3 linked regions of the Oryctolagus cuniculus genome follow. Each later gene encodes a partner of the first gene's protein in a complex. Links are inferred from orthologs where the notes say so. Each region holds a gene or a part of one and is shown on either strand. Other genes may lie near its edges.

Evidence for each region.
Region 2: the proteins of KPNA4 (region 1) and RANBP3 are in contact, whole or in part, in a crystal structure (PDB 5XZX), measured with the Homo sapiens proteins. The link is inferred for Oryctolagus cuniculus from reciprocal best matches to the Homo sapiens genes KPNA4 and RANBP3. Residues at the interface, in NP_002259.1 of Homo sapiens: Arg96, Leu99, Ser100, Asp102, Arg103, Pro105, Phe133, Trp137, Thr140, Asn141, Ala143, Ser144, Gly145, Thr146, Ser147, Thr150, Glu175, Gln176, Trp179, Gly182, Asn183, Gly186, Asp187, Asn219, Trp222, Val225, Asn226, Arg229, Asp261, Trp264; in NP_015561.1 of Homo sapiens: Asn114, Tyr115, Cys116, Pro117, Pro118, Val119, Lys120, Arg121, Glu122, Arg123, Thr124, Ser125, Leu127.
Region 3: the proteins of KPNA4 (region 1) and RELA are in contact, whole or in part, in a crystal structure (PDB 7LF4), measured with the Homo sapiens proteins. The link is inferred for Oryctolagus cuniculus from reciprocal best matches to the Homo sapiens genes KPNA4 and RELA. Residues at the interface, in NP_002259.1 of Homo sapiens: Lys231, Asp271, Arg306, Asn310, Val312, Thr313, Gly314, Thr315, Asp316, Thr319, Lys344, Glu345, Trp348, Ser351, Asn352, Ala355, Glu387, Trp390; in NP_068810.3 of Homo sapiens: Lys301, Arg302, Lys303, Arg304, Thr305, Tyr306, Glu307, Phe309.

Annotation. Positions count from the first base shown.
Region 1 is NC_091435.1:120,225,753-120,229,399, reverse strand, and holds part of KPNA4 (importin subunit alpha-3), read right to left. Parts: intron 964-3,647; coding exon 832-963; intron 1-831. UniProt on the Homo sapiens protein: Functions in nuclear protein import as an adapter protein for nuclear receptor KPNB1. Binds specifically and directly to substrates containing either a simple or bipartite NLS motif.
Region 2 is NC_091447.1:60,411,370-60,415,016, forward strand, and holds part of RANBP3 (ran-binding protein 3), read right to left. Parts: intron 3,471-3,647; coding exon 3,392-3,470; intron 2,298-3,391; coding exon 2,195-2,297; intron 1,851-2,194; coding exon 1,726-1,850; intron 641-1,725; coding exon 520-640; intron 1-519. UniProt on the Homo sapiens protein: Acts as a cofactor for XPO1/CRM1-mediated nuclear export, perhaps as export complex scaffolding protein. Bound to XPO1/CRM1, stabilizes the XPO1/CRM1-cargo interaction. In the absence of Ran-bound GTP prevents binding of XPO1/CRM1 to the nuclear pore complex.
Region 3 is NC_091432.1:6,042,594-6,045,181, reverse strand, and holds part of RELA (transcription factor p65), read right to left. Parts: intron 2,524-2,588; coding exon 2,419-2,523; intron 2,301-2,418; coding exon 2,088-2,300; intron 210-2,087; coding exon 129-209; intron 1-128. UniProt on the Homo sapiens protein: NF-kappa-B is a pleiotropic transcription factor present in almost all cell types and is the endpoint of a series of signal transduction events that are initiated by a vast array of stimuli related to many biological processes such as inflammation, immunity, differentiation, cell growth, tumorigenesis and apoptosis.

The sequences.
Region 1 (3,647 bases):
TTCTTTTTAAAGTTTTACAGTTGTTCTCGTTATCCAGCCAAGGCTAAGTGATGACTTAGGTTAAGTTTTTCTTATGCTATTACTATACTTTACAGACTCTAAGTCATTGCCACATAAAACATTCTATTTACCTCAGAAAATTAGAGAACATGCTGCATATCCCTTTACCATTGCAGTTTGACAGTTATTACTTCTATTTGTGTGAACTTCTCATCCTCTCTTTTGACACTACATATAGGTTCTTTCAGATAAATACTGTGTAAGAGGATTTAAGAACAATTGAATAAAATAAAAAAACAAGCTTAAAAAAGTTTAAGATGGTGAAAACAATTTAGGGAGCTAAGTAGCATTTATCTGCACAAAACCTTTTTGCACAAAGTCTTTATAAGTGCCAGTGAAGCTAAGAGCGAACCAAACTTTCCAGATCAGTAAAAAGGGACAGGGCGGAATGGGGGGTGGGGGGAATTGGACTGTGGAAGAGGAAGAAAAATAAGAAAAGGAGTAGGAATTCTAAGTATCAACACCTGTTTGATTGCACTCAAGCTGCTAAACTGAATTGCCTATAATACAAATCTGTATTCTACAAAGGAGTCTCTTCCTAAATATGTATTTTTCAGAGAGGGTGGGGAAAGGTAGGTTCAAGCTGTAGTATCCTTACCTCATTTTTTTCCACCTTTAAAATGGGAATAAAATAATTTACTCTTACCATCACAGACATGCTGTCATGCTAAGAATATCCTTTAAACTATTGAAATTGTTTGGCTCTGAATGTCATGTTTACAGCAATTATTATTAGAAAAACTTAAAATTTTTTATCACGAACAAACTTACCTGAACTTTAACTTCCTGATGGCTGAGCAGAGGAACCAAATGAGGAACTATTCCAGAGTCTATTACCATCTGTATCTGTTCATTGCCAGCATCAGTAAGGTAAGAGAGGGCCCACACTGTATCTACCAAAATCTAATGAGTAAAATGAGAATTCAAAGAGCATTTGAATATTTTCTCATTTTAGTAATTCTTAACCATACAATTAATCTAAGATTGTTCTACCACTTGTTTTCTTCTCTCACATGACGCCTTCAAAGAAACACACCAACACTTCAAAAATACAATGTGAAAATGAAGAGACTGAAGAAATGCTGGAAATGGAATTTAAATTATAGATTATAGGATTACTCAGAAGTAATCAGAAGCAAATCCACGAATTAAAGTAATATATACATGACACAAATAAAAAAATTTTCCCATGAAATTGAGAATTTAAAGAGAAATGAAAATGAAATATTGGAAATGATGAATTCAATAGATCAAATAAAAAATGTGGTGGAAAGCCTTAACAACAGACTCGGTAAGGCAGCAGAAAGAATATCCAAGTTAGAAGACAAATCTCTGGAGATTTTAGACCAAAAAAAAAAAAGAAGAAATAAGAAAATTAAAAAACAGTGTTGGAGATTCATGGAATACTATCAAACCACAAAACATACAGGACACAGGAGTTCCTGAAGGTGAGGAAAGAGAACGGATTACAAGGCCTTTTTAGTGAAATAATTACAGAAAAACTTCCCAAATTTGGAGAAAGGGGCCTCCAAGTACAAGAAGCACATAGAACTCCTAATAGATATGACCAGAAAAGATCCTCACCATGACACATTGTACTCAAACTCTCCACAGTAAAAAAATGAACACGAGAGAAACTCCAGATTACTTTCAGAGGATCTCCAATTATACTCACAGCCGACTTCTCATCAGAAACCCTGCAGGCTAGGAGAGAATGGTGAGATATATTCCAAGTCTAAAGAGAAAAAAAAACTGTCAACCCAGAATACTGTACCCTGGCAAAGCTCTCATTTAGGAATGAAGGTGAAATAAAAGACCTTCTATAACAAACAGAAATTCAAAGAATTTGTCACCACTCATCTAGCCTTACAAGAGATGCTTAAGATGTGCTACACACAGAAACACAGTCATCACTATGAAAGAAAATCTCCCAGCACGAGAACAAAGGAAATAAAAAGTAAGCAATAGGAATATTTATGGAAAACATCAGGGCCAATAGGCACCTTGAATGTAAATGGCCTCAATCTCCAGATAAAAGATACAGACTGGCTGAATAGATTAAAAAATAAAACTCATCTACTTGTTGTCTACAAGAAACATATCTCACCAACAAAGATAAATGCAGGCTGAAAGTGAAAGCATAGACGATATTCTACGTTAACAGAAACCAAAAAAGAGCTCGTATAGCCATCCTGGTATCAGACAAAACAGTTTTTAACACAAAAACTGTCAAAAGAGACAAAGAGGGCACTATGCAATGATTAAGGGTTCAACTCAACAGGAAGATGTGACAATAAATGTATACAAATCTAATTACAGGGCACCTGGCTATTTAAAAGAAATGTTAAGGATCTAAAGGGAGAAAAAAAAAAAACTCCAATACAATAGTAATGGGGGACTTCAATACCCCACTTTAAAAATGGAAAGATCATTCAGACAGAAAATCAGCAAGGAAATAGTTAATCAAAACTATAGACCACGTGGATCTAACAGATATTTTCAGAACTTTTCATCCTACAGTTGCAGAATACACATTCTTCTCACCAGTGCACGGAACTTTCTCTAGGATGGACCACATGATAAGCCATAAAGCAAGTCTTAGCAAATTCAAAATCATACTATGCCATCTTCTCTGACCACAATGGAATGAAGTTGGAAATCAAGAACTTAAGAATCTCTAGATCACATGCAAATTGAAAAACATGCTCCTGAATGAACAGTGGGTCATAGAAAAAAATCCAAAGAGAAATCAAAAAACTGTTGAGTAACAGTTTTTTTTTTAATACTATTTGTTGAACATTTTACTTAGTACAGAGTTAATCTTCTGTGTATAAAGTTAAATGAAAATAGATTTTAGTAAAAAATAAGAATGGGAATAGGAGAGGGAGTAGGAAGAAGGGTGGAAGGGCAGGTACGAAGGGAAGAATATCTATGTTCCTAAAGTTGTATTTATGAAATGCATGAAGTTATATACCTTAAATAAAAGGTTTCTGGGGGAAAAAATCACGATTTAAATCAAACTAGATTTCATATATTCTTTTGTGACAAAGTTTGTATTCTGTAAGTTTACCAATTACAACTAAATGTAATGTTGGTGCTTTAGTTATGGCTTGTAGAAGCAGTTAACTAGTTTTATCTTTAGTTCTTTGATGGCTTGACTTAAGAACACACTGCTAAATGTCTACCCAAGATGACTCTAATAAACATCACTATTTAGTAAATAATATTATTAATTAAATATGTAACTAAAAACAACAATATAGACTGGCTTGAGAAATTCAAGGCACATAAAAAATAAAGATAAATGTAATCAGAATCTCACCTAGATTGAGGTAAAGAAACATAATGCATCTCTGAATAAAGTAAATGAAGATGTCTGGTTTTTTAGTGGTAGTATAACTTTGAGATTAATCTTTTTTTATGAATATTTTAAAAGAAAAATGTTGAAATTTATACTTCAGTCAAGGAACGTGGCTTTCAGGAACCAAAAACAAAAAATGCTTATATAAATATTTAAGATCTATCTGATTCAATCAGACTATCTGGCGCTTAAAAAACATCTTTAGAGCAAAGAGCATGTTTAATAA
Region 2 (3,647 bases), on another chromosome or scaffold:
TCCTCCTGCCGGGTGCCGCAAGGCTCGCTTTGCCAGGCTTCCCGCGGCTCCCACGGCCCCAGAAGCGTGCCCCACAGCGGTAACGAAGGCACCGGGACCGGCCTCAACGCCCGCACAGGGAGGAGGGTGCGTGCACCAGCTGCAGCGCAGTACTCGGGCAGAAGCTCTTGAAAAACAGCCCTCACTGTAAAGGAAAACCTTAGGGCACGAGGCCAGGCTCACGGCCAGCCAGCGTGAGACACACAGTGGGACGCACAGTTGCTCTCTGGCCTCAGTGAAAGGACCCCCCCCCCGCGCGAGCGAGGTCTCCTGTGAAGGGGCCGCCCTGGACCAGGGACTGCCGCCTCTTCCTTCCACCGCGGAGCTGCCACTCGTCTCAGCAAAGTGAGCTTCCAAGTTGACAGACTTCCCTCGGCACGGAGAGTCCTGGAAGGGCGGGGGCAGCACGCCTCCCCCAAGCCCCCCCAACCCTGCTGCCCACCTCCAGGAGGCGGGAGCAGCCCAGCCGCCGCAGCTCACCCAGTCGGGACTGGAGCGTCCCGTCATCAGCCGACGCCATGTCGTTGAGCCTGAGCAGTCCCCGGCCTCTCTCCACCCACGACTGCGAGGTCTTGTCGAAGACAAACAGCTTACACTGGATCTGCAACACACACGGGGGCCCTCGGGGTGAGCGGGGGCCCCGGTGGGGCCCTGCTGAGGAGGGGCCCGGCGTCTCTCCTCCTAAGCCACCTGCACCACCAGGGGCAGCCCCTTGCTCTGGGCTGGTATCTCTATCCTGCCATGGTAAACGACAGCCACGAAAGAGACACAAAGTACAATCACAGCAAAACCACATCACAGCCACCGGACACTGAGGGAGGAAGGGCTGGGGGCCACGGGGCGCAGCAGGGGGACAGGGAGTCACCGCCCGGCTCAGAAAGCCCACCCCACAGACACGAAAAGCACTTCCGCAGAAGAGGCAGACGCCACGGGCACAGCCACAGCATTCGAAACAGCAGACAGCACACACGAGGCAGGCACCGGCTGCTGAGGGCAAAGCGGCAGTGGTCCGTCCGCGTGGCAGACCCCGGAGGACGTCTCGGGGGAGACGGTGCGGGGCTCCACTGGAGGAACGTCACAGTAGGGCCAGGCACCGACAGGAGGGTTTGTGGTGAGCAGGGGCTGAGGAGTGACTGCTACGGGGACCGGTGGGGCTTCTGGGTGACGAGAATGTGCCGAGGGCCACACAATCCGTGAGCACAGTGGGACCCACTGCACTGGGGCGGATGGGGCGGATGGGGCGGATGGGGCGGAAGGCGTGCACGGCGGGCCAAGTCTCTGCTTCTGAGCTGACTTCCTGCTGGGTGTACCCTGCGGGGCAGAGGGGATGGGCCCCTGCACCCACGTGGGAGACCAGGCCTGGCCCAGCCCTGGCCGTGTGGGCATTTGGGGAGTAACCAGTGGGTGGGAGCTCTCTGTCACACACACACACACACACACGAATTTCCAGAATACAACCTTCCACAGAAATGGATACTTTAAAACACAGACATGTGCATGCAGAGGGGAGATGGGGGCGGGCGGCAGGACCCTTCCCGGGGACAGCTGTGAATGCTGGGGCAAGCGGAAGTGCTGGTCCTGTTCCTATGGCAGTGTTATCCCCGCCCTGCCTCGAGCAGGCCTCAGAACACAGCTCCCGTCCCGGGCCACGGCCGGGGGCCAGGGGCCGGCCCGCGCAGCCCTCACCTGTAGCACGTTGCTCTCCGCCTCCTCCCCGGTGATGACTTCCACTTTTTCCAACAAACACTTGCGCGCCGTGGCCTTGGTGTAGGCCGCCGCTGACTCGGCCAGGGACTCTGAAACGTTACCGACTAAACAAGAGCCACTCCTTATTCGTGAGGGCAGGCCACGCAGGGGCCAGGAGGCTGGCTCTGGCCTGGAGGACGCCGGACGAGCTGTCTGGACAGGCCCCCACACCCCCGCCACCCAGCCGGAGCCTCTGCAGGGCGGCGCTGTGTCTCCAGGTCCCCGCTGGGAGAGGACAGCGGGAGACTCTCCCGAGGGACAGGCAGGAGGAGGGTGCTGGCTGCTGCACAGCCCTCCCTGGCACTGAAGGGACAGCTCCTGTCTGTGCTGAGCCCCAGAGCCCTGTGCCCCGGTCACACATCAGCCCACACCAACCCGACCCCCGTGGGCAGCCAGGGCCCCCACGCACCTTTCTCGGGGGTGGCCTCCTGGGACGAGGGCTCGGACCCAGAGTCGGCAGCAGCGTGCTCCCTGCTGGCCTCGGAGCTGCCCTCGCTGAGTTTTGGGGGACTCTGCGGGGAAGCAAAGCAGGCGGGGGAGGGCATGCTGTGTGCTACTGGTGCCAACGCCTGGCCCCGGCCCGCGGCAGCGGCCCTCAGCAGCCGTCCGCCTGGTCCCTGTGCCTCACGAGCCCCATCCCTACAGGGCTCCTCCACGTTCCAGGGGAGCACGCCGCAGTGCGCTTGGAGCCCCAAACACGCCCCCTCCTGGCTCTGCTGGGCCTTGTCATCTGGAGCCACCTGTGTGGCGGCCTGCGTGAGGCAACTCCCTGAACACGTCCTCGTGACAGAAAGAGGAGAACGAGCGGAGCTGGTGGTGTGGTGCAGCGGGTTAAGTGCGGGTTCGAGTCCCGGCTGCTCCACTTCTGATCCAGCTCCTTGTAATGGCCTGGGAAAGCAGTGGGAGACGGCCCAGGTGATGGGCCCTGCACCCACGTGGGAGGCCTGGAGGAAGCTCCTCGCTCCTGGCTTTGGCCTGTTCAGCCCTGGTCCTTTCAATCTTTTGGGAAGTGAACCAGAGGATGGAAAATGTCTCTCTCTCTCTGTAACTCTTTCAAACAAACAAAAACCTCAGAGAAAATAAAAAAAAGGAGAGAGCGCGCTGCTGTGGGAGAGAAGCAGGAGGCGCACGCGCTCCACGTGAACCCAGACGACGACGGGAACACTCGGAGGGCCAGGGACGCAGCCTCGGCGCAATCCCATGTGCACTGCGGGGCTGTGCGCTCGCCCGGGGAAGGGACAGGGACACAGGGAGCAGGCCGCACCCAGAACCCTCTCCTGGGTTGGGTGGGCTGTGGGCCGGCAGTCGTCGCTGGTGCTGGCAGCTGCGTTCCTAGACTTGGGCAGGGAGCACCCAGGTCCTGTCCCCTGGACTCCGGTGGCCCAGCAGCACACGGCCGAGGACGAGCACCTCGGCTGGCCTCTCGGGAGGATGCAGAACCCTGACCACCAGCCCGGCTCAGCAACACAGCGCTGCCCTACCTTTAGGCTGAATCTCCAACAACCGACAGCACCGTCACCTCCCAGGGGCGTGGTGGCCGCCCCGCGCACCCCTCAACCTGGGCCTGCGGCTAAAAGCCTCCCGGCCTCCAAGTGCGGCCACTCACCAAGACACGTTCGCTCATGTTCTGGCCAAACACAAATTTGTTGCTGGAGCAGTCGGCACTGTTGGTCGAGTTCTCTACACTGAAAAGAAGACGTGCAGTGAGCGTGGGGCCAGGCACACGTGCACGGATGCACGGAGCACACGCGTGCACACACGAGCAGTCAGACACAAAGACCCTTCGCCTGTCCTACGGACGGGAAAGGCACATTCCACCAGCTCCGCGGCTGGCTGCTGCCCAGTGCCACCACCTGCAGCAC
Region 3 (2,588 bases), on another chromosome or scaffold:
GCCCCCCCTGGCTGCCCCGGCCCCCCCGCCCCCCCGGCCCGTCGGTGGGTCCTGCAGGGCGACGCGGTCAGCGCCAGGCCCCCCGCCCCCCCCGGCTGCCCCAGCTGCCCCTCCGCCCGCCGCCTCACCGCTGAAAGGGCTCTTCTTCATGATGCTCTTGAAGGTCTCGTAGGTCCTCTTGCGTTTCTCCTCGATGCGGTGCCGGTCGTCTGGGAGAACGAGAAGTGGGTCCCCTCCCCTGGGTGGGGGAGGGGCCAGGCCTCCCGGAGACCCGCCCCCCAGGCCCCCCAGCAGGAGCCTCCCTCAAGAGCCCATGCGGCCCCCTGAAGCCACGGGCAGCTCTCCTTCCCACTCGGCTGCTGCCCGGCCCGGCCCCGCCTCCGCCCTGCCCGAGAACCGCTGTGGCCCTCCCTGCTTCTTCCGCAGCTCTCGGGTCTCTGATCCCACAGACCGGCCGGAGCCAGCCTCATCTTCCTCAAAGCCTGGATCCCGGTGCCGGAAGATCACTCGCTCTCTGCCTTTCTAAATGTGTTTTTTTTTTTTTTTTTTTGACAGGCAGAGTGGACAGTGAGAGAGACAGAGAGAAAGGTCTTCCTTTGCCATTGGTTCACCCTCCAATGGCCGCCGCGGCCGGCGCACCACACGGATCCGATGGCAGGAGCCAGGTGCTTCTCCTGGTCTCCCATGGGGTGCAGGGCCCAAGCACCTGGGCCATCCTCCACTGCACTCCCTGGCCACAGCAGAGAGCTGGCCTGGAAGAGGGGCAACCAGGACAGAATCCGGCGCCCCGACCGGGACTAGAACCCGGTGTGCCGGCGCCGCAGGCGGAGGATTAGCCTAGTGAGCCATGGTGCCGGCCATCGCTCTCTGCCTTTCAAGTAAATGAAGGCAAAGCAGGTGCCCCACAGCCCGCGCCTCCTGCGCGCCCACTGCACTGCAGCTGAAGCCGGGACCCAGCCTCGCTCCCACTCCCCGCCCCCGCGGTGCCCTCCGGGCACCCGAGCCGTCTGTGCCAGGCCCCTCTGGCCCAGGGCCTGAGTGAGCACACGGGGGCCTGAGTGAGCACACGGGGGCCTGAGTGAGCACACGGGGCCTGAGTGAGCACACGGGGGCCTGAGTGAGCACACCGGGGCCTGCTTGCCAAGAGGTGACACAGCGACGGGAACGCAGACAGACCCCAAGCTTCCGGCCCGGAACGCCGAGGGTCAAGGAAGCGTGGCCACCGCCCCGGAAGCTGGGTGGGGGGTCTGATTTAGGGGACCTGGCAAAGCGCGCCGAGCGGACCGGCAGGTGCCGCGGCCTGGCCTAGCCGTTCCTCCCGCAAGGGGCTGAGCCTCTCCCTGGACTCCGGCACCTTCTTCCAAAGGCCACCCCGCCCGAGTCTCCCCTTCACCCCTGCACGTGGCTCCCCACTGCCATACGACAGAAGCCCGGACAAAGGCCTGCAGCCTAGCGAGACCCTCCCGCCTGGGCCTGCTCCCTGCCTGCCAGCGGCTCCCACTACACAGCTGCCCGCCAGGCTGTGCACCTGCCCTCGCCCTGCCTGCAGACGGCACAGCTGCGCCCCTCTCCACGGTGAACGCCACCTCGCGCCCGCTGGAGGGCTCCAGCTGCCACCTCCGCCTCGCGTGTCGCCCTGTGACGCCAGGACCTCGTCCACATGTGTCTTCCTCACGTGACAGGGCAGGGCACGCGGCGCACTCATCTCTGTCCACACAGGGGGCTCAGGCCCCGGGCTCAGGCGGCACCGGAGACCAGAGCACACGGCGGCCGGGTAGCACGGTGCCGGCTGCCGCTGGCCGGCCCTGCAGCTGCGGCCGGCGCGATGCTGCCTCCTCCCCAGGAGCTCTGCCAGACGAGGATGAGGGCAGTGCTGCGATGCGTGCCGGCTGCTCCTCGGGCTCAGGGAGACTTGGGGACTCTGACTCCTGTCACGCGGCCCCTCGCAGCAGGACGTCAGCTGACGCAGCCGCGCCCTCACCACGCACACGCCGTCCAGCCCCGAGACTGCTCTACGCAGACCCCGAGCTCGGCCCCTAGGTTTTCCGGCCTCGCTGGACGGGCCTGCTCCCACCGCAGCTGTGTACCTGTGTCGGGCAGGTACTGGAACTCCATGGGCTCGCTGAGCTCGCGGTCCGAGGGCCTCCGCAGCTGCATGGAGACGCGCACGGGCGCCTGCAGGCCGGGGTCCGCGTAGGGCGGGGTCCGGAACACGATGGCCACTTGTCGGTGCACGTCCGCTTGTGAAAAGGAGCCTCGGGCCTCCCAGCCCGGTCCCGTGAAGTACACCTCGATGTCCTCTGCGAGACGGGGGAGGGGTGGGGGTCAGCTGTCCGGGGCCCAGCGCACCGCGGTCCACTGGCTGCAGCCCTGCCCCTCCCCGCCCGGCGAGGCCGGCCCTGCCTGCCTCCTGTGTACCTTTCTGCACCTTGTCGCACAGCAGGAAGATCTCGTCCCCGCCCAGGCAGCTCCCCGAGTTGCGGTTCACCCGGCAGATCTTGAGCTCGGCAGTGTTGGGGGCGCCTGAGGTGTGAGGGTGAGGAAGGCGGCCCTGAGCCACTCCTGGGGCGGCCCACGGGAGACGCGCG